Alligator mississippiensis: one gene and its partner. The protein of the gene in region 1 purifies or fractionates together with the protein of each later gene. This does not show direct contact. Links are inferred from orthologs where the notes say so. Each region holds a gene or a part of one and is shown on either strand. Other genes may lie near its edges.

The links.
Region 2: the proteins of IGSF8 (region 1) and CD9 purify together in Homo sapiens (affinity purification with mass spectrometry; 5 studies listed by BioGRID and IntAct, counting the BioPlex papers as one, with this or other methods). This does not show direct contact. The link is inferred for Alligator mississippiensis from reciprocal best matches to the Homo sapiens genes IGSF8 and CD9.

Annotation. Positions count from the first base shown.
Region 1 is NC_081838.1:20,973,724-20,985,412, reverse strand, and holds the start of IGSF8 (immunoglobulin superfamily member 8), read left to right. Parts: upstream 1-6,117; 5' UTR 6,118-6,163; coding exon 6,164-6,248; intron 6,249-10,053; coding exon 10,054-10,428; intron 10,429-11,472; coding exon 11,473-11,689. UniProt on the Homo sapiens protein: Member of the immunoglobulin superfamily (IgSF) that links tetraspanin-enriched microdomains to the actin cytoskeleton and plays several important roles in innate and adaptive immunity.
Region 2 is NC_081827.1:140,327,990-140,339,369, reverse strand, and holds the start of CD9 (CD9 antigen), read left to right. Parts: upstream 1-6,532; 5' UTR 6,533-6,617; coding exon 6,618-6,683; intron 6,684-11,380. UniProt on the Homo sapiens protein: Integral membrane protein associated with integrins, which regulates different processes, such as sperm-egg fusion, platelet activation and aggregation, and cell adhesion.

The DNA of each region.
Region 1 (11,689 bases):
CAGTGGATCGTGGTCCCCATTTGGCGGGGGTGAGGTTATGCCGTGGCACAGCCCCCCACCCTAGTGTTACCACAGGGCAAAGGGCCATGACCGTACCCCTACACCCACCGTCCTTCGCTCTGGGTCCCGGGGGCTAAGGGCAGGGATTGCCATGCTCAGCCCCGGGGCTGTGCTCTGCAGCAGGCAGGCAGGGGGGCAGTGGGCGAGACCAGGGGCACAGGGCTGGGGAAACTCAGGCTCAGCCGGGTGGGGGGAGGTAGCAGGCCCCATGGGCCCATTGCTCTAACCCACGCAGTGTGAACTGGGGAGCAGGGCTCGGCCCAGACACCTATCCCCCTCTATCCACATAAACCCCCTCATGCCCTTTACAACCGCTCCCCCCAAACCCACCTCCCCATCGTGTCCACCCCTCACCCACCCCAGCCGCGCTCTCCTGGCTCCTGTCCCTCCATTGCACCTGGCCCCTTCCTGCCCTCCTTGCTCCAGCCTGTGGGTACATGGGGAATCTCACCCCAGCTCTGCCCACCCCCTCCAGTGCTGGGAGGAAAGAGCAGACGCCAGCTTCGACCGCCCAGCAGCGGCATCCTCTGGGGAGAAGCAGGAAATTAATTGGCATTGACCCGGGCAGGATCGATAGCAGCCGGCCAGCTGGGCAGAGAGCTGCTTCCAGCCCCAGCCTGGCCTGCACCCGTGAGTGGCACACAGACCTCCTTGCACACCACCAGTGTTTTATGCCCACCACCCACTGGGGCCAGCCCTCCTGGGGGCAGGATTGGGTCCTTCACAGGGCTGGCCGTGGGCCTAGTCCTGAGCTGGGCCCAAGGGCCAGGATGGGGGTCTGTGCCCCTGGCCATGGGGCTCTGAGCCAGTTCTGCTCTCATGGCAAGGCTGGGGCCTGTGATGCCCATCTTCATGCCCAGGTGAGAAGCGGGTGGCATGCAGCCAGCTCCTGGGAGCATGCGGGGGCCCATGCTGCCCCTGCAGTGCTGCAGTCTGGCTGCTCTGCTCAGCTCAAGGGGGTTGGCTCTGGGGGCAACTGGCCTGCAGAGCCAGGGAGGCTGCGAGCTGTCCAGAGCAAGGCAGGGGCAGGGGCATGTTCAATGCTCTGCAAACGCACATGTCCCAAAAAGACCAGATCATAGCGCCCCTCTCAGCCGTGGCACTGGGCTAGCAATGCCGGGGCCTTAGCACACCCCCTGCCATTGTGCCCCGGGGACAGCAGGAGAGATGGATCAAGGCCATGGCAGCCACGGTTTGATGTGGTTTTTGGCATAGGGCTCCTGGGGGTGTGGGCCCACCCCTTCCCATCCCCCTGCTCTCACCACCAGCCTCCACCCCCTCAGTTTATTTTTCCCTCTAGCCCCAGGAGGGTGCTCCCCTGGCCCTTGGAGTCCTCCATCCAGCCACTGGCAGCTCCTTGCCCCCCTGGCAGCCTGCTCCCCTCCTCCCTGCAGCTGCCCTGGGGGGTCCAGCACAGGCCAGCAGCTCTGAGATGGAGCAGGCCAGTTCTGCCCCCACCAGCATCTTAGAGACCCCCAAGGCACAGGCCTGACCTCATGGCTATGTCCTGGGGGCCAAGTCACAACTAAAAACCTGGTAGTGTTCAGCCTATAGAGAGAGAAGACTGCAGGCCTTCCTTTCACAGCTGGACTTTTTTGCAAGCTTAGACACAGATTCAGAGGTAGGTACTTAATGACTATCCTTTCTGCACACTGAATCATGCCACAACTACATTCCCCAATGATCCTCCGTTCCCTCTTAGCTGGCCAGGTATTGCCACCACCCAGGTTAGACAAAGAGGCGGAAAGCAGGTCCATACCCCAAGCTTTTATTGATTTACACCCCAAATCACAAGAATAAGCCCCTCCCTCCATGCTTATCACAACAGCACAATATTCTCACCTGCAGCAGCTGGAGAGAGGACAGCGGCATGCAGGCTGGCAGCAGCTTGCTTTGAACGTGCTGCGGTCTTCCCCAAACTCTCCCTGTTTCCACTCAGTTATATGCGGCACAAAGAAATATTCTGCCAGGTGTTGTTGCAGTGGGTTTGTCTGACTGGGCTTTAGGAACTAGGCTGAACCAGCTTTTCTGTGGGCTCAAAAGACACGTTACCTGGGGCCTGTGTCCTTGTGAAAAGGACCGTCCTGGGAGAGAGGACTTTGCTCCTCTGCCCTCTTGCCATGTTTGGTTTCTTTTACTTTGCTGACAAAGCCAGTTGTAAATGGGCAGGCTCGGTCTGGGACAGGGTTTGTGGCCTTCTCTGGCCTCATGTCTGCAGCTGAGCACCAGCCCCTCGAATATGGCCAGGGCTGACAACAGGTTAATGAAGATAAAGGGTGATTTCAATAAAATCCTAGCTGCCCACGGATCACTCGGTTGTTAGCAAAAGGGTAGTTGTCACTTATAGTGGCGGTGATAGCGGTGGTTGACTTAAGTCAAGCAGCAGCTATTTGGCCTTGGCCTCGTTTAATGTTAATGGCTTCCCTACAACATTTTTAGTTTACTTCGTAGGCTACTGTTGTGACTTAAATATAACTTAGTGATTATTAACTGTGCACCAGCTTCAGCATGTCACTTGTAATTTAGGTGTTAGCTTGGCCAGTAGTCTGCTCTCTGCCGGTCGGTGTGGTCTCAGTGCCAAGGCATGTCTACAGCCCGTGACCTGCCCTCCTAGGCACGAACATGCACTGTCCTCTCCTTCTGTAATCCCAACTGCCCCTCTTGGCACAGGGATCCTTGGGGCCATCCCTGCAGCCTCCCACTGCATCCTGATGATTGATGGTGCCTAGGAGCTTCAAAGCGGTGGAAAGGGCCTGCAGGGGCCTGCAAGGTCTTGCAATGCAGCCACCTCTGGGGTGGGACCCAGCAAGCATTTAACAGCCACCCCACATGAGGATTGCTCACCCAGGGTATCCACTACCCCTGGGTGCCCAGGGTGCTGGGCTGGAGATGAGGCCAGGGCCCTGGGTCTGCAGTGCAGTGGGGGTGCTGTGCTGCGGCTGGGGCTGGGACCCTGGGTGTGCAGGGTGCTATAGTGGAGCTGTGCTGGACATGGGGCTGGATGCTGGGTGCACAGGGTGCTATAGAGGAGCTGTGCTGGACATGGGGTGGATGCTGGGTGCGCAGGTTTCTATGGTGGAGCTGTTCTGGACACAGGGTGGATGCTGGGTGCGCAGGGTGCTATGGTGGAGCTGTGCTGGACACAGGGCTGGATTCTGGGTGCGCAAGGTGCTATGGTGGAGCTGTGCTGGACACGGGGTGGATGCTGGGTGCGCAGGGTGCTATGGTGGAGCTGTGCTGGACACGGGGTGGATGCTGGGTGTGCAGGTTTCTATGGTGGAGCTGTGCTGGACACGGGGTGGATGCTGGGTGTGCAGGGTGCTATGGTGGAGCTGTGCTGGACACGGGGTGGATGCTGGGTGCGCAGGGTGCTATGGTGGAGCTGTGCTGGACACGGGGTGGATGGTGGGTGCGCAGGGTGCTATGGTGGAGCTGTGCTGGACACGGGGTGGATGGTGGGTGCGCAGGGTGCTATGGTGGAGCTGTGCTGGACACGGGGTGGATGCTGGGTGCGCAGGGTGCTATGGTGGAGCTGTGCTGGACACGGGGTGGATGGTGGGTGCGCAGGGTGCTATGGTGGAGCTGTGCTGGACGCGGGGTGGATGGTGGGTGCGCAGGGTGGTATGGTGGAGCTGTGCTGGACACGGGGTGGATGCTGGGTGCGCAGGGTGCTATGGTGGAGCTGTGCTGGACGCGGGGTGGATGCTGGGTGCGCAGGGTGCTATGGTGGAGCTGTGCTGGACGCGGGGTGGATGGTGGGTGCGCAGGGTGGTATGGTGGAGCTGTGCTGGACACGGGGTGGATGCTGGGTGCGCAGGGTGCTATGGTGGAGCTGTGCTGGACGCGGGGTGGATGCTGGGTGCGCAGGGTGCTATGGTGGAGCTGTGCTGGACACGGGGTGGATGCTGGGTGCGCAGGGTGCTATGGTGGAGCTGTGCTGGACACGAGGTGGATGCTGGGTGCGCAGGGTGCTATGGTGGAGCTGTGCTGGACACGGGGTGGATGCTGGGTGCACAGGGTGCTATGGTGGAGCTGTGCTGGACACGGGGTGGATGCTGGGTGCGCAGGGTGCTATGGTGGAGCTGTGCTGGACACGAGGTGGATGCTGGGTGCGCAGGGTGCTATGGTGGAGCTGTGCTGGACACGGGGTGGATGCTGGGTGCGCAGGGTGCTATGGTGGAGCTGTGCTGGACACGGGGTGGATGCTGGGTGCGCAGGGTGCTATGGTGGAGCTGTGCTGGACGCGGGGTGGATGCTGGGTGCGCAGGGTGCTATGGTGGAGCTGTGCTGGACGCGGGGTGGATGGTGGGTGCGCAGGGTGCTATGGTGGAGCTGTGCTGGACGCGGGGTGGATGGTGGGTGCGCAGGGTGCTATGGTGGAGCTGTGCTGGACGCGGGGTGGATGCTGGGTGCGCAGGGTGCTATGGTGGAGCTGTGCTGGACGCGGGGTGGATGCTGGGTGCGCAGGGTGCTATGGTGGAGCTGTGCTGGACGCGGGGTGGATGCTGGGTGCGCAGGGTGCTATGGTGGAGCTGTGCTGGACGCGGGGTGGATGCTGGGTGCGCAGGGTGCTATGGTGGAGCTGTGCTGGACGCGGGGTGGATGCTGGGTGCGCAGGGTGCTATGGTGGAGCTGTGCTGGACGCGGGGTGGATGCTGGGTGCGCAGGGTGCTATGGTGGAGCTGTGCTGGACGCGGGGTGGATGCTGGGTGCGCAGGGTGCTATGGTGGAGCTGTGCTGGACGCGGGGTGGATGGTGGGCGCGCAGGGTGCTATGGTGGAGCTGTGCTGGACACGGGGTGGATGGTGGGTGCGCAGGGTGCTATGGCGGAGCTGTGCTGGACGCGGGGTGGATGGTGGGTGCGCAGGGTGCTATGGCGGAGCTGTGCTGGACGCGGGGTGGATGCTGGGTGCGCAGGGTGCTATGGTGGAGCTGTGCTGGACACGGGGTGGATGCTGGGTGCGCAGGGTGCTATGGTGGAGCTGTGCTGGACACGGGGTGGATGGTGGGTGCGCAGGGTGCTATGGTGGAGCTGTGCTGGACGCGGGGTGGATGGTGGGTGCGCAGGGTGCTATGGTGGAGATGTGCTGGACGCGGGGTGGATGGTGGGTGCGCAGGGTGCTATGGTGGAGCTGTGCTGGACACGGGGTGGATGCTGGGTGCGCAGGGTGCTATGGTGGAGCTGTGCTGGACACGGGGTGGATGGTGGGTGCGCAGGGTGCTATGGTGGAGCTGTGCTGGACGCGGGGTGGATGGTGGGTGCGCAGGGTGCTATGGTGGAGATGTGCTGGACGCGGGGTGGATGGTGGGTGCGCAGGGTGCTATGGTGGAGCTGTGCTGGACGCGGGGTGGATGCTGGGTGCGCAGGGTGCTATAGTGGAGCTGTGCTGGACACGGGGTGGATGGTGGGTGCGCAGGGTGCTATGGTGGAGCTGTGCTGGACGCGGGGTGGATGGTGGGTGCGCAGGGTGCTATGGTGGAGATGTGCTGGACGCGGGGTGGATGGTGGGTGCGCAGGGTGCTATGGTGGAGCTGTGCTGGACACGGGGTGGTTGCTGGGCGCGCAGGGTGCTATGGTGGAGCTGTGCTGGACGCGGGGTGGATGCTGGGCGCGCAGGGTGCTATGGTGGAGCTGTGCTGGACGCGGGGTGGATGCTGGGTGCGCAGGGTGCTATGGTGGAGCTGTGCTGGACGCGGGGTGGATGCTGGGTGCGCAGGGTGCTATGGTGGAGCTGTGCTGGACACGGGGTGGATGGTGGGTGCGCAGGGTGCTATGGTGGAGCTGTGCTGGACACGGGGTGGATGGTGGGTGCGCAGGGTGCTATGGTGGAGCTGTGCTGGACACGGGGTGGATGGTGGGTGCGCAGGGTGCTATGGTGGAGCTGTGCTGGACGCCGGAGGAAGGTGGTGCCAGGCCGCCGGGCTGGGCCCCGTGTGGGGCGCCGCGGGCGCGCGGGGCTGGGCCGGGACCCGCGCGGTGGCCCAGGGCGCTGCAGACGGGGGTGGAGCCGGGCTGCGGCGGGGCGGGGCGGGGCGGGCCGTGGTCGTGGCGGTGGCTGTGGGGCCGGGCGGGGCTTCCCTGAGCGGAGCCGCCCGCGCCGCCATGGGAGCCGCCCGGGACGCGCTGCCGCGGGGCGCCCCCATCCCGCTCCCGGCCCCCATCCCGATGCTGCTGGTGCTGCTGCTCGGTGAGCGGGGGCGCTGCGGGCCGGGGGCGGGGCGGGAGCTCCCCGTGCAGCTCGGCCCGGCCCGGCCCTGGCCCGGGGCGCGGGTTCCCGCCTGTGGCCGGGCCAGCGCGGGAGCCTCCGGGGTGCGGGGGGGCGTGTACATGGGGGTGCGCAGCTGTACGTGTGTGTGCGCGTGCATGGCGTGCACCCGCGTCTGTGTGTGCGCGCGCGCGTGCATGCATGGGTTGTACACCCGCATCTCCGCGTTTGTGTGTGCATGCATTGGGGGGGTGTCCCCATTTTATGTGTGTGTGCACACACATGAGGGTGTACACCCACTTCATATGTACGCTTGCAAGTGCATGGGGAGGTACACGTGTGTGTGTGTGTGTGTGTGTGTGTGTGTACGCGCGTGCATGCATGGGGGTGTAGAGGCACGGGTGCGTGTGTGTGCGCATGCATGGGGGCATACAGGCATATGTATGTGTGTGTGGGTGTGCAGGTGCACATGTGTGTGTGTGTGTGTGTGCGTGTGTGTGCACATGGTGTGGGTGTTTCTGTGTGAATGTTGTGGGGGGTTGGTGGGTGTGCATGGGAGGTGTGCACACCCCCACATGGGTGTGCATGTGTAGCAAAGCTGGCAGGTGCCTTGACTCGTAACCCCAGTGTTCCCCCCTCCCTTCTGGACCCTCCTAGCCCCGCTGCCACCGTCCCCAGACTGCTCCAGTGCCCCCTCCTTGTCTCCCTATGCTGCCCCCAGGCCTGGCTGTGCCCCGAGGGCACTGGGGGCAGGGAGAGGCCACCAGGCACATCCCAGAGCTGACCCACATGGGGTAGCAGGGTCGTCCCCCCCCCCCTCCCCCGCATGGGGCAGTGCCACCCGGCAGCCCTGGAGATCCAGCTGCAGGCAGCTGCTGTGCCCGTGGCTCAGGCCCCAGCCTCCCCCCACCTTCAACCTCTGTGCCCTGCCCCTGCCCTTCCCTGTACCCCCATGCCAGCCAGAGCCTGGACTTCCCTTGCCTCTCTGCCTCTAGTTCAGGGCCAGGGGCTGAGGGAGGTGGCTGTGGGGCTTTGCCAAGGCTTTCTGGCCCTGGAGCCAATGTTTTGTGCCAAGGAAGGTGACTCACTCCTGCCTTTTGGCTCCAGGCAGTGTTGAAACGGATGGGCGGGAATGGAGCTCACTATGGAAAAAGAATCGGGCAGGGCGGCGGCCAGCTCCCCCTTCTTTCTGGGCCTGGCCTCTGTCAGCTCCTCTGCAGTCCTTGGGCCGGGCCTGTCCCCCCCCATCCCAGTATGAGATGGATCAGGGACACTGGCTGGACTGGAGCCCAGTGGGGCAGGAAGGGGAGGTGGCAGCTGGAGCTGGGGAGAGAGCCAGGTGGAGGGGGGAGAGTGTGCACAGGGCGCTGGGCAGGCGGGCGGGTTGGCTGTCTCTGTACCATTTCTCTGCACTTTCTCTCCCCTGTTGCGTGTGCATGCATGTCGGAGGGGGACTGAGATAGGTTGCTCCGTCTGCAATAACTCTCCTGCGGCAGGGGCATGTGCTGGTGGCTACACTGGGGTCAGGGTGCCCTTCCCTGCAGGGAAGTGGGCTGAAAGGGTGCAGGGGAAAGCAGGGCATGAACCCACCTGTGCCCGTGGGGAGCAGAGGCCTGGCAGGGGTAGGGGGGTTAGTGGCAGAGCCACGCTGGGGCAGGGTGAAGGAGGTGGCGGGTGCTCTATTGCGCTCAGGGCCCTGGTTCCCTGGGCCCTGCTCCGTGGCCGGTGCCTGGGGCCGGGGCAGGCTCTGGCACCTGGGCTGGACCAGCCTGGACCCAGCACGGCTCGGGGAGCGCTGGGCCCAGCCGCCCGTAAGCTCCGGATTTGCAGCCCTAAGCAGCTCTGCTGCAGCCTGTGCCATTGCAGGTGCCTGTGGGAGCTGGAGCCAGCACGCCTGCTCCCTGCCTCTGCTCTCAGCTGTGCTTGACACCAGCACTGGGGCCACAGCGGCAGCCGGAGAACAGCCCAGGGCACTGCCACCCACTTGGTGATGGCGCGGGGGAAGGTGCCAGTGACAAGGCTGATGCCACCCCCCACCATACATCCCCTGCGCTGCCAGCAACGCCATCTGTGCCCTTCCCACCACAGCCATCTGCTGCCCCCTCCCCCACAGTGCCCAGCGCAGGGAGCTGTCTGTGCAAGCTGCATCTCACTGTGATGGTCTCACATGGGAGGCAAGAGGTCCCCCAATGCCCCTGGCTCATGCACCCCACTTCCCTGGTCCCCTGCCTTGCCCACACCTCTGCCTTTCCCCTGCAAGCCCATTCAGGGAGACGGGCTCTAAAAACTTGGGTTTGGCCGTGTCCTGGAGGCAAGGGACTCCCACTTTTAAGGTTGCCCCCCACTTCCCCAGGATGGCAGAGTTAAGCAGAGGTGCTAGGGGTGCCTGGGGAGTGGGTATGGGGTGTCCCCCCATCTGGCACTCTGCCCGTGCCCCCCCAGCTGCCCCTCCCAGTCTTTGCAGCTGTGGGTGCTACAGTGGCCCAGTCTGGGCCAGGGATCGCTGGGTGCTCTCTGTCAGGGGAGCTCTGGGTTGAATGGAAGTGGGGGTGGGGGGTTGATCCATGGCGCAGGGCATGTCCCCTTGCTCCACGCAGCCACCCTGACGGCGTGAGCTGCGTGCTGAGCAGCAGCATGTGTGACCTCTGTCCTCGCCAGGCTGCGCCATCCCAGCCCCCCACCCCCCGCTGTGGCCTGACCCAGATTGGAGAGCGTGATCCAGCTGTGCAACCAGGGGGAGAAAGGGCCTTTGTGCCTCTGTGGGCTGCCCACGGGTCGCCTGCCCGTCGCATAGGGCAGGGGCTGGCAAAGAGGGGAGCACTTGGGAATGGGTGCATGGGCCTGGTACTGCGGGCCCCTGCGTTGCGGAGCTGGGGCCTGGGTTTAGCCACAGCCCTGCGGTGGGTGGGGGCAGCTGGAGATGCAATGGGGGGTGGTGATGGGCTCTCTCCATTCAGGTTTCCCTGCACATGAGGGTTGGCTGGGCTGGGTCATGGGGCTAGGGGCCCTGGCATGGCCCTGTAATCCCACTGGTGCCGGACCCTGGGTGCTGGTACCGCTGCTTGGGTCCCAGGCTGGCAGCGCCATCTAGGTCTGCTGCTCCCGGCTGCTGCCCAGGGACCTGGTCCCAGGGAGGCCTGAGTATTGTCTTTGATGGCAGGGCCACCTTAACGTCTCAGGGCCTGGGCCCCTACAGGGTGCGGGCATGCAACAGGGTGGGCAGCTGGACTGGCCCTGCCCCAGGGTGCAGCAGGAGAAGGACATGCTCGCAAGGAAAGGTCTAAGGTGACCACAGGGTGCCTCACAGCCCAGCCTGGGCCTCACCTCCTCCCTGCCCCAGGGCTTTTCTGGAAGCTGTTGTATTTTACAGCTGCCTCAGGGCTGCTCTGCCTTTCCCAGGGCAGTGCTGGCTCCCTCACAGTGCGGAGCAGGGGCAGTAGCGCAGTGGAGACCCCTCCGGCAGGGGTGGGACACCTGCCATCCCTAGAGCTGGACTCCTGGGTTCCCACCTCACTGTGCATGGGTGGGATGTGGGGCCCAGAGCTGTATGTGGGAATGGGGGGGCGGGTAATGCACGGGAGGACCTGGGACCAGGCAGTGTATGTGACTGTGAGAGGGGTATGCATGGCTGGGATCCTGGGGCTGCGTGGCTGGAGTTTAGCAACCCCAGGTGATACGTGGCAGGGGTTGAGCTGCAGGCAGGGAGGGGGCTGTAGAGGTCTGTGGCCCCGGCCTGGTGCAGAGAGCCCCACCCGTGCCCCCAAGCTTGACTGCTCTGTCTCCGCAGGGCTGAGCACAGCGCGGGAGGTGCACGTGCCGCCAGGGCCCCTGCTGCGGGTAGAGGGCACAGCCGTGGCCATCCCCTGCCACGTGACAGAGTATGAGGGCTCCACACTGCAGCACTTCGAGTGGTCCGTGTACCGCTCAGCTGCACCCACGATTGCCATCGGCATCATCAGCACCAAGGACCCCGCCTTCCCCTACGCCGTCTTCAGCTCCCGCGTGCAGAGCGGTGATGTGGCCATGCAGCGGCTCCGTGGGGACGCCGTGGAGCTGCGCATTGCCCACCTCCAGCCCGAGGATGATGGCATCTACGAGTGTTACACTCCCTCCACCGACTCCCAGTACCACGGCAGCTACAGTAGCAAGGTGGCGCTGAAAGGTACGGTTCCCCACACAGGGTGAGGCGAGGCCACCTCCATTCAGGCAGCAGTTGCACCCATACAAAGGTCTGGTCTTGGGTGGGTTATTGGTACAGCTGACCCTGGATCACCCCAGGCCCCTGGTTCACGACCTCCTCTGTGCCAGGTGCTGTACACACAATCCCTGCCCCAGCCAGGGGTCATTGTTACTGGGTTCAGCTGGCAGCTACCCCACCTCCTGCCTGGGCGGTGCCTGGGATGGATCCTGGTCCCATGACTGCAGCAGCTCCCCCACCCCCACAGAGATGTGTCATGTGCTGAAAGCAAACAGCAGCCGGATGGGAGCTAGCACCAGGCTGGGGGAGGGGGGCACGAGGCCAGGGGGCAGCCCCTCCAGGGGCATTCTGGGGCTCCCTCCATAGCCCTCTGGCTGAGCCCCTATGCCACAGGCTGCAGGGACCAATGGGGGGCTCAATGCAGGGCATGCTCTGCCCCAACTCTGGCCATAGTGGGAGTCCAGCTGTGGGTCAGAGGGATAGCAGCTTGGGGGGGTTGCCTGCTGGGACGTGGCAGGGATGATCTTACCCTGGAGAGGAGAAGACCAGGTTCCTCTTTCCTGTGGCTGAGCTAGTCCTGGGGCCACCCCGGGCTCTTGGGGAACTTCCTTGGGCCTTTCCAGGGGAAGTCTGTCCCTGGGTTAGATTGAGTGCCCAGGATCCTGGACTCCTGGGTTCTTTCCTGGGCTCTGGAAGGGGAAGCAGTGTTTAGAGAGGCCAGAGCAGTCTGTTTCCATGTGTGTATGATGTGGGCTGGTGAGCAGGCGTCAAGACTCCTGGGTCCTCTCTCAGGTTCCTGGAGGGGAGCAGGGTCTTGTGAGTCGCAGCAGGAAAGCTAAGAGTTGGGCCTCCTGGGTCCTGTCCCTGGCTCTGTCGGAGGCCTGGGGGCTTGGTGGTTAGATCAGGGTGCTAGGGGACAGGACTCCTGGGTACTCTTGCTGGCGGAGCAAGGCCAGGGGCTTCCCCCCTTCCCAGCTGCCCTCTGACCCCCACTTCTACTCCCCTCAGTGATCTCCGACTCGCTGCGGGTCACAGCCGCCTCCCCCACGCCCCAGCCCCCACTCCGTGGCCGCATGGCCAGTGCCACCCCACTCCAGCTGAGCCTGATGGAGAGCCAGGAGCTGCGGCTGAGCTGCACAGCGCAGAGCAGGACACAGGAGCACACCCACCTCTCAGTCTCCTTCGGGGTCTCAGCCCCGGGCACACCTGTGGGGCGTCACACGTT
Region 2 (11,380 bases), on another chromosome or scaffold:
CCTGACTTGGAGCAACGTGAAAGGTTGATCTGCTTTATCCATCAACCTCAGTATCAACGGTCAAGCTCTACAGCCACCAGTGCTGAGCACAGCTTCCCTGGACCCAGAGATCTGGCTGACAGCTACGTTCATGTTGTTGGAAACTCTCCCAACTATGCAATACATATTTATATGTATAATATGTAAATATATTTATATTTCGCAGAGACAGTTATGACCGCATACTTATCACAGCCACAAATTCCACAAAGGCAAAGTGATTTTCCAGACTACTGTTTAAAAAATTCCTTCATGAGATTTTGTCCTCCCTCCCTCCTCCCCCACCTTTCCTCTCCTTTTCTTTCCTAAGTGATTTTGGCCCTTATTTTGTGTGCACTAATGCACACGATCAGCTTTACTTGCCTGAATAGTCCTATGAAAATCATGAGCTGGTGCTCAAACTTAAAGCCCAAACCTTACTGTTTTTGGCTTGGGGCAGAAGTTGTATGAACCAGTTTGAGTTCAGTCAGTTAAGTCTGATACTACATTCAAGGAGGTTGATCTCAAACTGGTTTTGGCCATTTAGAAACCAGTTTATGTGCACTAAACTTACATTGGGTTACAGGTTTAAACTGGTTTAAGTGATCAGAAACTGGAATATGTGTAATGTCTTGGCTTAGTATAAGTTCATCATAGTGGAGTGTAACATTTAAAATTATTAATTAAATATAAAATGCTGTTAAAACTATTTTATTGTAAAATAAAAAGGTATCTAGCTGACTTCCCATGTTCCCGTGAAAACTAGATGTTATGAGCCATAATTTTCCCTTAAAACTATGACCTTTTCTATTTTTTCCCCTTTGTAACAACTTGTGTTAAATTATAGGCAATTGCATGTGCCCAATTTATCCAAAAAAAACTTAATCCCACACATTAACCCTAGCTGGGCATGTTTACATATGCATTAACTAAAGCAAGTTAATGCACATTAAATTTAGTACCTCTGGGCATTTGTAAACATGCTTGTGCCACAGCGCTCGGTGCTTTTAAAAGCACCTGGTGCTGCCACACGTGCCATTGTATAAGCAGCGAAACACACGTCAGCACTAAGAAAATGGCGGCGGTGCGCTTTTGAACTAAAACACCTTTGATGTGTTTTAGTTCAAAAGTGCACTGCCACCATTTTGAGTGCTGGCACACATTTTGCTGCTTATACAACTGCATGCGAAGCAGCACAGTGTGTGTTAGCTTGCATGTCGAGCAGACTTGATTAATTGAGTCTTCTCTGATGCGCAGGATTTTGTCCTGTGACACATTGGAGAAGGTAAGTGTATAAATGTCCTCCATTGCAAGTAGATGCACACCTATAATGCACAGTGAATATGTACATGTAGATGTGCCCCGTTCTTTAAATTTCCTTTTCAGTGGGTGCGTCTACACGAGCTTTAAAGCACATTAGCCTGTCTTAATGCACATTAACTAAAGAACAGTTTAAGTGGCATTTAATGAGCATTAATTAAAAAGCATGGTTTTAGTGACACTTTAATGCACATTAAAATAGGTTACTTATGCATGCCTGTACTGCACATTAAATATGGCCACTTGCACCAACTTGAGTATAAGTTTGATACCCGCATCATGCAGGCATCAGATTCATGTGCGATTAGTTTCTGCACTGTAACACATCTGTAGACTTTTTAATGTATGGTAACACTGTGTGTGGACTGACATGATAGAGAGAGAGAGTGTTCCGACTATGAGTTGTTTACTGCTTCCCATCAATGTCTCTCAGTATCAGAACACCCACTTAAAATTAATAGCAATAATGAAGTCCCAAAAGAAGTCTCTGGTACCTCTCTCTTGAGAGATGACAGACAATCTGCCAGACCAGACAAAATGGCTAGAGGCAGTAAGAAACCATTCAGAACTGAACTGCTGTTATGGTTATCAAACTCACAGCACATCTATCAGAATGGACAATGCTCAATCCACTTTTAATTTTTACTCTGAAACCAAGGCCCAGAATGAAACTGATTTATCCCTGACTAGTAGGACTTTTCCTTGACAGTGCCAGATGTGTGCTCATTCTTCCTTGCTAGCAACCCTATGTGAAATCAGTGATTTTCTGGAGGAAAGGAAGACTAACAGAACAGAAAATAACTAGCCAACATCAGTCAAATGCAGATGATCATCACCAACACCCTCAAGAATCATCTTATTCCAAAGTATTCCTTCAGAGGAGTTCAGTTTCAGTTTAGAGTATCATATGCTGTCCAGTCCAAAGCTCAGTGACCTCCTCATCCTTGTTGTCGTAAAAGAAGACTGTTGCATGAGAATGCCAACTATTTTTATTTCAAATGCTTGAGAAAGTGAATTTTGACCACCAATGTATTTTCTCCATTATGCTTTTCTATGGTGATCTTCATGAAGGCTCTTCTATGCAAAGCATTTCCCAATTGCTTGGAGATACCTCAAGAGGTCTTTATCTAGCACCCTTACAACTGCAGATGTGTCTTACTTATCAGAGTAGGAAATTGAATTGAATTAAATCAAATTGAATTAAACACAAAATTCTTAATGTTCACTGGCATTATTTTGCTAGTCATCCTATAAATGGACAAGTCAATTTTGCATCTTTATATTTCCATGTACTGTTTCAATGGAGTTACACCAGGCAAAAAAAACAATTTACAGGAGATTTTGACTTATTAAAGCTCAATTCTGCTGTCAGTCAAAAGAGGTACAAGAGTTCCTGTGGACTACAATAGAAGTCTAAAGCTACATAGCAGCAATTCCATGTTGCCAAGTCCAAAGCAATGTCCCTAGAAGATCCAGAGGCCCCTACACTCCTCCTTAACTCCAGGATGGCAGGTCCCTCCAGGATTACAAAATTTAAAAAACAAAACAAAAACCCACAACCAACAGGCAAAGAAAGATGACATGAACAGCAACAAATGTGTTCTTCATAGAAAGTATAGGGAGAAGAAATGGGGAGATATTTTTTGGATAAGCAAGCCATTAACAGTTTCTAAAAGTTCCTGTTCATATCCAAAGCATTTGGTATTTCAAGTCATGTAAGTTTTGCCCAACTTCAGAAAGTAGGCTTCGTTGTAACCATAGCGCTAAGAGAGTGGTTTTCCCCTCTGTACTTTTCAAGCTACCATAGGAAGTTAAGGACATCACTATTATCCACACTAAATAGGAAGTAGGTGAAAAACAATAAAACTGAAATATACAAAAGATATTTTAAAGCTTCTCCACTGCCACACAAAGACCAATCATACAACCAAGAACAACTTACAAGATTTTTTTTTAAGTACCCATTAACAAATTTTGATCTTTCTAGACACACATCATTGCAATAGGCATACAACTTCACAGATACCCTATTAACTAGCCACAGTAACAAACTACACATATCTTTCCAGAGTGCAAAATCATGGAGCTTCAGCTCTACAGGTCAGATAACCCACCAGTCTTCCTAAATTATCAAAGGTTACAAAACACCAGAAAGCAAGAAATTTAAAAAGAAATTATCCAGCAAGTTTTCAAACTCCCAGGTCCCCTGCTATAACTTCAGGAAAAAACAAGTCAATAACCAGCTTCATGCCTAATATCTACCGCAGGTGTAGTAAGTAAGAGTTCATTGGGGCCAGAGGCTTTCACTAACCCCGTTTGTGGTCAGTGCCAGGTGTGTAGAACCCCCACCCCCTCATCATAATGACCAAGTGTGCCTCTCTCTCTCCTTTCTCCCAGAGTTGCATGTTTTTCCTTCCTTGTTTTCAAATGAAAGAATATCTTATTTGCATTTAGATTTTTTGGTTTTTCGGATACTATCTCTATTTTATGCCTTCCTCAGTTGCATTAGCTTCACATTGTAAAGCCTTATCTTAGAAAGTTCTGACAAACATTCATTACGGGAGTCCTTTAAATTTTGACAATGCTAATACTAAAAACCTTTTATTTGCATTTCAATCATGCTTCTTTGGGTTTCCACAGCAGAATCTGATTTACAGGTTTAGCAGGTGTAAATTACCATAGCAAGTAGGCAATGGCAAATTTACAGCAGTGGAGGCTCTGGCCCTCTGTTTCTCTTTATAGGTTGCAGTCACTATACCCTTGTCCATATTTGAGGACTGCAGCAGTTACCTTTATTTAAAAATCAACCTACTTAAGCTGTTGCAAACTCTTAATACCTAAACTGGTTTAATCCATACTTAAGTCACTTCAGTTTGTGATGGAGAGATACATACATCAGTCTATCTTAAATTGGTAAGCAAGGGCTAAACTAGTTTGTATTGGTTCAAAACAAGGATGCTACAGCACCCTGACATCCTTTCAAGGATGACATGGAGTGCCACACAATGTTGGTATTGTTAATTGTGCAAACATGATTCACAAGATAAACACAGAGATTTCAAATGAAAATCCATAATGTCAAAACCATTTTGACCTGTTGTGGTCTTTGAGTTCTTTGCAACAGAAGAATTGCTCTATTCTTTTTCCATACTCAAAAAATGAGTGAAAATTAAGAGCTGGCATGCGGTGCCTTGAGTCTAACAAGAGTTACCTTGAGTCTCGAAGAAGGTTGAGAAGTTTGCATTTTGTAAGCATCTCTCTATACTTGCCTACTTCATTGCATTAGAATCATTTTCTAGAATTTTGCACTACCAGGATGTCTAGACATCTAACTTATTGCAATTTTAAACCTTCATCTCAGTGAGCAGTAAATCCAGTTGCTAGGGTTTTGCTTAAGATTTTGGACGGATCTTTGAGGAATGCTATCCTGGAGTGTCTTTTTTTTTTTTAAATCTGAGACACATAATTAAACCTGTTAGTCTGAAATTAAGTAGAAGGCCGGGCAGATTTGCATGTTATAGACTAACAGAAGTGTGTGTGTGTGCATGCACGTGTGTGTGCATGTATCGCGCACACATGTGTACACACATGTATATACACACGTATATACACATGCACACACATGTATATACACAGGCAGACAAGGTTCCTTGGGTGAATTTGATATCTTTTATTAGACCAACCCAAATGGTTGGTGAATAGTTATTAAGCAAGCTTTCGGGTTCAAAAACCCTTCGTCAGGCTAAGGAAGCTTCTTCAGCAGTTGGTGTGTGCTCTTCCTGGATGGTGTATATACACATACATTTATATCTATATATAGATATATATCTACACTTATACACACATACAGTAGAAAGCTTGTGCTTGCTATCTATACGTGTGTATGTATATATATCCACTTACATACACATATACATAGATAGCACAAGCTTTCCTGAGCTGAAGTTCACTTCAACCAATGTTGTGAAAGGAAGTGCAACAAGCAGTGTAGGAGAAAGAACATTTTTTCTCCTTTTCTTCTTCTACACTGCTTGTTGTATGTCCTTTCACACCATTGGTTAAAATTAGCTTCATCTCATGAAAGCTTGTGATTATACTTACAAACAAAACATGAAAATGTGCCCCTCAACCTCAAGAAAGCAGGATCTTAGGGGTGGCAGAAACCTCTAGTTGTATTTGCTTCCCTCCCTGCCATTTCTCTTTATAGGTTGCCGTCACTATTGCCTTGTCCATATTTGAGGAGTGCAGCCATTCAGTTATGTTTATTTAAAATCAATCTACTTAAACTGTTCCAAACCCTTAATACCTAAAATGGGAAAAACACAGGAAAAGGGCAGAGCAACTGCAGGTGCTTCCTCAGCATGACGAAGGGTGATTGTGTCTGAAAGTTGCAAAGAAGAATTTTTCCAACTGTTTGAGTGGGTCTAATAAAAGATACCAGATTCACCCAAAGAATCTTGTCTGCCTCTGTCCTTAGACCAACACGGCTACAACCTACACCCCTGCAACATGGCAGATATATATACACACACACACACACACACACACACACACACATGTATGCACACATGCATACATACGCCCACACACATACATGTGTATGTAGATCTGTACGCATGTATACACACACACACATATACGCATACAAATATACACATATTTGTAAGCCTATATGTATGCATGTATATATAGCTAAGTGTGTGTATGTATGTATCGATATCTATCTATATAGCCATATGTATGCCTGTATCCATATCTTTTGGGGTGTGTATACATGTGCATGTGCACAGTCATCTGCATACGCACCTGCGTAGCCATAAGTATACACACACACCCCGGGGTTAGTCTATACGGTGCAACTCTCCGGAGCCTCCTGTCCCAGAGCGGTGCCCGGAAAGCTGCAAGCCCTGCCGCGGCTCTCGACTCATGTTCTGGGAAGGGGGCAGCCAACACCGCTCCGGGGCTCCTTCCCGCTTCCGACCTGGGTTCTCGGGGCTGGGGGCGAGGAGAGGGAGCCTCCGCGGCCGCCCCCCACGCCTCTCGTCCCGCCTTGCAGCCCCCGGCGCCCGTCGAGCCCGCGGGGCGGGCGCGGGACGCGGCAGGGCAGGGCAGGGCAGGGCAGGGCGGGGCGGGGCGGGGCAGGAGGGAGGGGGAGGGGAGGCGCTGGACTGCTCCAGGGACTCGCCCGCATTTAAGGCGGGGCAGTGCGCGGCGTGTCCTTCCTGCGTCCCGAGCCCCGCTGCAGCTGTCGGACCCCTTTGGCTCCTGCAGCCGCTAGGATGCCGGTGAAAGGAGGCATTAAGTGTATCAAGTACCTGCTCTTCGTCTTCAACTTCATCTTCTGGGTAAGGGGCACCCCAGAGCGGAGGGAGGGTCCAGGGGTTGGGCTCCCTGCCTTGCAAACTCGCCTCACCGGAGCCCTGGCTGGGCTGGGCTGCCCCCCCCGCGCGCTCTGCCTCAGGCTGGAGGTGGCTCCGGGCGGGGGGACGAGGGGCCCCAGGGAGCGGAGCCTGGAGCCGAATTGGGTGGGAGGAAGTAGCCTGCACAGCCCCTGGAGCTGCCGAGCAGTGCCAGCTCCACAGGTGCCTGATGCCATGCAGGGGGCTGCACCCTGGTTGCAAAGTGAAGTGGGGCAAGCTAGTTTTGCAGCCTCTTTAAGAGAGGTGCTCCGCACCCCAGGAGTCCTGTCCTGCCTCTGGAAAGTCCCCATCCCGCAAGGCTTTCTCCTCGCCCTCCCCAGGGCTGGCTCAGCTCTCTCGCTTTTCTCTCTTGTGTTGGCATCAAGGCTTCTTCTCTGTCTGCCAGAGACAGGAGCCACTCTGCTTTCTGCTTCCCTGGGTCTCGGGGGGGCCCTGCTACCTGTTGCACACCTTGCACCCTTGACTGGCGTGAAACTTGCACTGCCCTTGCTTGGTTTGCTAAGCAAAATGCAGCGATAAGTGTCCCGTTTTAAATGTGGCCCGGCCACACCTGCCACGTCGGATCAAAGTGACTCTCCCAGCTCTGAAGATGTTAGTAGTTGGTGCCTGAAAACTCGTTTGGGACCACCTTTTGTTTGAAGCTGGGCCTTTGGGCAGAGGTGTGAGGGCCTGCCTGAAGTTCAACCCTGACTCCCCCTCCCCAAGGTGTCTGGGCTGCTCTGGAGGATAATCTTTGAGGCCCCTTCCAACCCTGTGATTTAGGGCTATTTATTTATTATTGCTATCTTTTTTTAACGCTGTTTCACTTCCTTGTTCCTGCTCTTCTATAGGGCAGCATAACGTGGCATAGCTTTGTTTTCAATCTGGGAACACACTGAAGATGTACGCAGGTTCCCCCAGCAATGCAGGCGCAACATGGAGTCCAAGAGTTTGTTCCTGAGAAGTTAAACTCTCTCTCGGCGAGACTTAGCTGGTTGAGTTCTTGGATTTCTTTTTATGTGCCTTCTTTTAAAGCGATGTGCTAAGATGCCTTGCAAAAACAGGATGAGACAACAACTGTTTTTGCCTCTGGCCACACCTTTTTTTCTGTTTAGTCTGAATTCAGTTGAAGCGCTCTGTGGTGTTTTGCTGGTAGGACCTTCCTTTGCAGCTGTTGGGATTCCTCTCTGACATGTTTAGAGGTGCAGACCTTGAGTGCAGGAAGTCTCAAATGGGTTGAACTCCATGGAGCACAGTAACAAATTGAGGCAGGTCTTCAACCTAGCGCTGCACAACGCAAGGGCCGTCGGTAATATCTGAAAAAAGTTGTGAGATTAGTTGATTGTTAGGCAGAAGGTGGGGATCTCGTAGACTAAATTGTTCAGAGAAGGAGACTTTAGGGGTAGCTTCATCAAATTCTTTTTATCCCTTTGAGTATTTAGAGGGATCAACTGTATTTCTATCTGTTTGCACTGCTAGGTAAAAGTCTGTCTATGGCTGTAAAATAACAGTGAGGAACTGGCTACCAAGGGAAAGTAATAGATGCTTCTGCGGACTCTCTTTAAACATCTGGCAAAGTCAAGTTATGAATCGAAGGCAGTTGCTTCTGGGTACATCCAATAGTATGTGTGAGCAGGTGTCTGGGGATGTGGCTTGTTTGTTGTTTTTCGTGTGTGGTTTTTTTTGTTTTTTTTTTTTAAATCTACTTCCTATGCCAGCTTCAGAGAAACATCTTTATGAAGTATTTTAAAAGAAGTGATTTATAGTAGGTCTGTGAAAAAAGGGTATTTACTTAGAGTAAAGGTGGTTTTTAAAGAGGATATGGGAAGGCCACATGGTCCATAGCATTCTGAGTAGTATACCATTACTAAGATCTTATTTACAGGCTTGAATAAATGGGTGCCTTAGGCCCAAATGGTAAATTTTAGCCCTGTAACCAGCCAAGGCAGAGCACTCAAGGGAACTCTGTGAAAAGGGAGAGGCAGAGACTGTAGGAAGCAAAGTATGTACAAAAAAGCAAAGGTTTTTGCATGTACTGTATTTGCTAAACATTAACTTTTGTGTTTGGGGGAAGGGAAGCTGTTTCCTAGGCTAATTCTTATCCCAGGCCTATGTAGTCAAACTTATGGTGTCTTTGCTCGCAACTGGAATGGTATTTACCTGAAGGCTAGATGACTTCAATAAATGATTCTTCATGTGGTTCTTTGTCAAAACCACTTGGATTCGGCAGCAAACTTACAGTGCAGCACTCTGTTTACTCAGCAGTGCTCTGCTATGATCTGCAACTTGCACAGGCTGCTAACTTTGTGAATGCAGTTGAAATGTCTATAATTGGTAAGCAGCTGAAATGCTACTGAGAATATCTTTGCCAATGGTGCCAGAACAGCTGTGAAAGGAGCTCTCCCTTAGTTCTTGGAGCATTAATCTAAGTTTAGTGACTAAGGATTAGCTCTAGGCCTAGACTTTTTATTAGATTGTTTCTTGTTCTTTTCTTAAAAAGAAAAATAAAAAAAAAAAAAAAAAGCACTGAAATGTGTGCTGGTTGGTTGGGGATATAGGATAAGAAAAAGAATGGTGTATATTTTAGAGTAAGTTTGGTTTATAAATGCAATTTGGCCTGTCAAGATGAGATAAATATTTGGGAGTTGGGAAGGCAAAGGAGAGGATGGTGCTCAAGACTTGTTTGCCTTCCCTCCAAGTTGACCTTCATCTGATGAGGTCAAGGTAAGCTATTGCTGAAAACTCTCTAAAGCTGGAAACTGGCACATAGACACTCAATCATAGCATCAGATTTCAGCTAGCCTGGCTTATTCTTATTAATCTTAAATTTCCAGCCTTAGCTACTTATTTATGTACAGTACCTGTGGCAACTGCAAATGCATTCCCTGCATATAGGGAGGCAAGGATTAGCTAACTACTGGAGGTGATAGTCAAGAAATTTTTTTTTTTTTTAAAGGTTTAAGTGGTTACATGGCCAACAATTTATTTACTCAATCTATCACATGTAGTTCTATTCTAGAACTTTATTACTTCGACTCTTGGCCTTACTCAAGGGGTTACTACGTCACCTTGAACCTTTGAAGTGACCTGAATCTGTCCCCACCTCCAGGCAAAAGAATTTCTGGAGAAACTTGCACTGCGCTTGCTTGGTTTTTTTGCTAATCATGATGGTGTTCTGTTGTGCATTGATGCCAATTGTGAGCTTCCTTCCACCACTCCCTTAATTTTTGGCTTTGTCCCTGTTCAAAATTGCGTCCTAATTTAATTTTAAAACTTTGTTTTTATTTAATGAAGTCATTTTTCTTTTAAGAGTATGTGGGCCCCGTTTAGACTGGTTTAATGAACTTGGCTTAACTTGGTAAGGAATTAAGTAAGAATCATATAAAACGGGTTCAAATTGGAATTCAGAGAACCTCCACTGAGTATTACATTAATTTAGTTAACTAACACTTCTAGTCAAATAGTTGCAACTTCAGCCTGAAGGACATGTCTGTTTCTTACTGATGATATGAGGGCATGTTCCACTTCACTATGTTTAAACAGCCTCTTTTAAGCTACTTGTTACACATGTCCAAGCTTAATCTCCTCCTTTCCTTATCCGGGCTTGGTTAAGTTTCTTATGTGCTGAGCCTGGACAGTTGGAATGGAGCTGAGGAGCTGCTTACTACAGGGCAGTAGTTCTTAATCTTTTTTTTTTTCTTGAGGCATTCATTAGAAAATGTCAGCTTAGTTTTTGTTTGTGTTTGGCTTTGTTTTTGTGAAGGTACGAGGAGGAAGCTATATAGAACTTTCAGCCAGTTGTTCAGCTGTACATTACCTTTGTGGCTTCTGAAACTGCAATAAAGTCATGATTTGGGGTGGGGGGGAGAGATATATTACTTGACTGAAAGTTCTGGTTAAATGTCTCTTTCTCTGGACCTTGCCAAGTATTTGGATATGGGATTGGGGGGGGGGAGAAAAGGCTTTTAAGTTCACATTTTATTTGTATTACTAGGTCTCTAATTTCTCCCTAGTTTATAGCTTCAAATTGGTAAAGTGTGTTACATGGAAGTTGCATACTCTCCTGAAAAAAGTTCAGGGCCCTATTAGTTTTAGTGTGGAAACAAACTAAAGTGCAAAACCTAATAAGTAAAATGCCATCAGCTCGCCATCCAGTGCGCAAATCAAAGCTTAAGTGTTATGACTGGGCTAAGCTCCTTCAAGATCTTTGGTCCTAGTGACTGCCTCCAAGTCAAATTTTGACTAGTGCTTGTGTAAAACATTCACAATAAGATTAATGATTTCTCTTTGCTTTGTTTGTTTGTTTTGTTTTTTCCTTTTTGGAAGAGATTTGTGCGCCACTGGATCCTTTAAACATGTATTCAAATGTGGGGTGGTCCAGCTGGCTGACTTCAGGCCATTCAGCTGAGTAGAAGTAAATTTACAGTCTTATTTCTTTAGCGTTTTGCCTTTTCCCCTAGAACAGTTTAGGAGTACTTTTATAATGCTGCCACTAGTAGACATTGTATTTAAATGTGCCTTCTTAATTAGATTAAGATGATGGCTCTTAAAGTTTGCAGTGATGTAAGAACTGCCACTTACTGGGTCACACCGTAGATCCGTCTTGCTCAGTATCCTGTCACAGTGATGGAGCGGATGCTGAA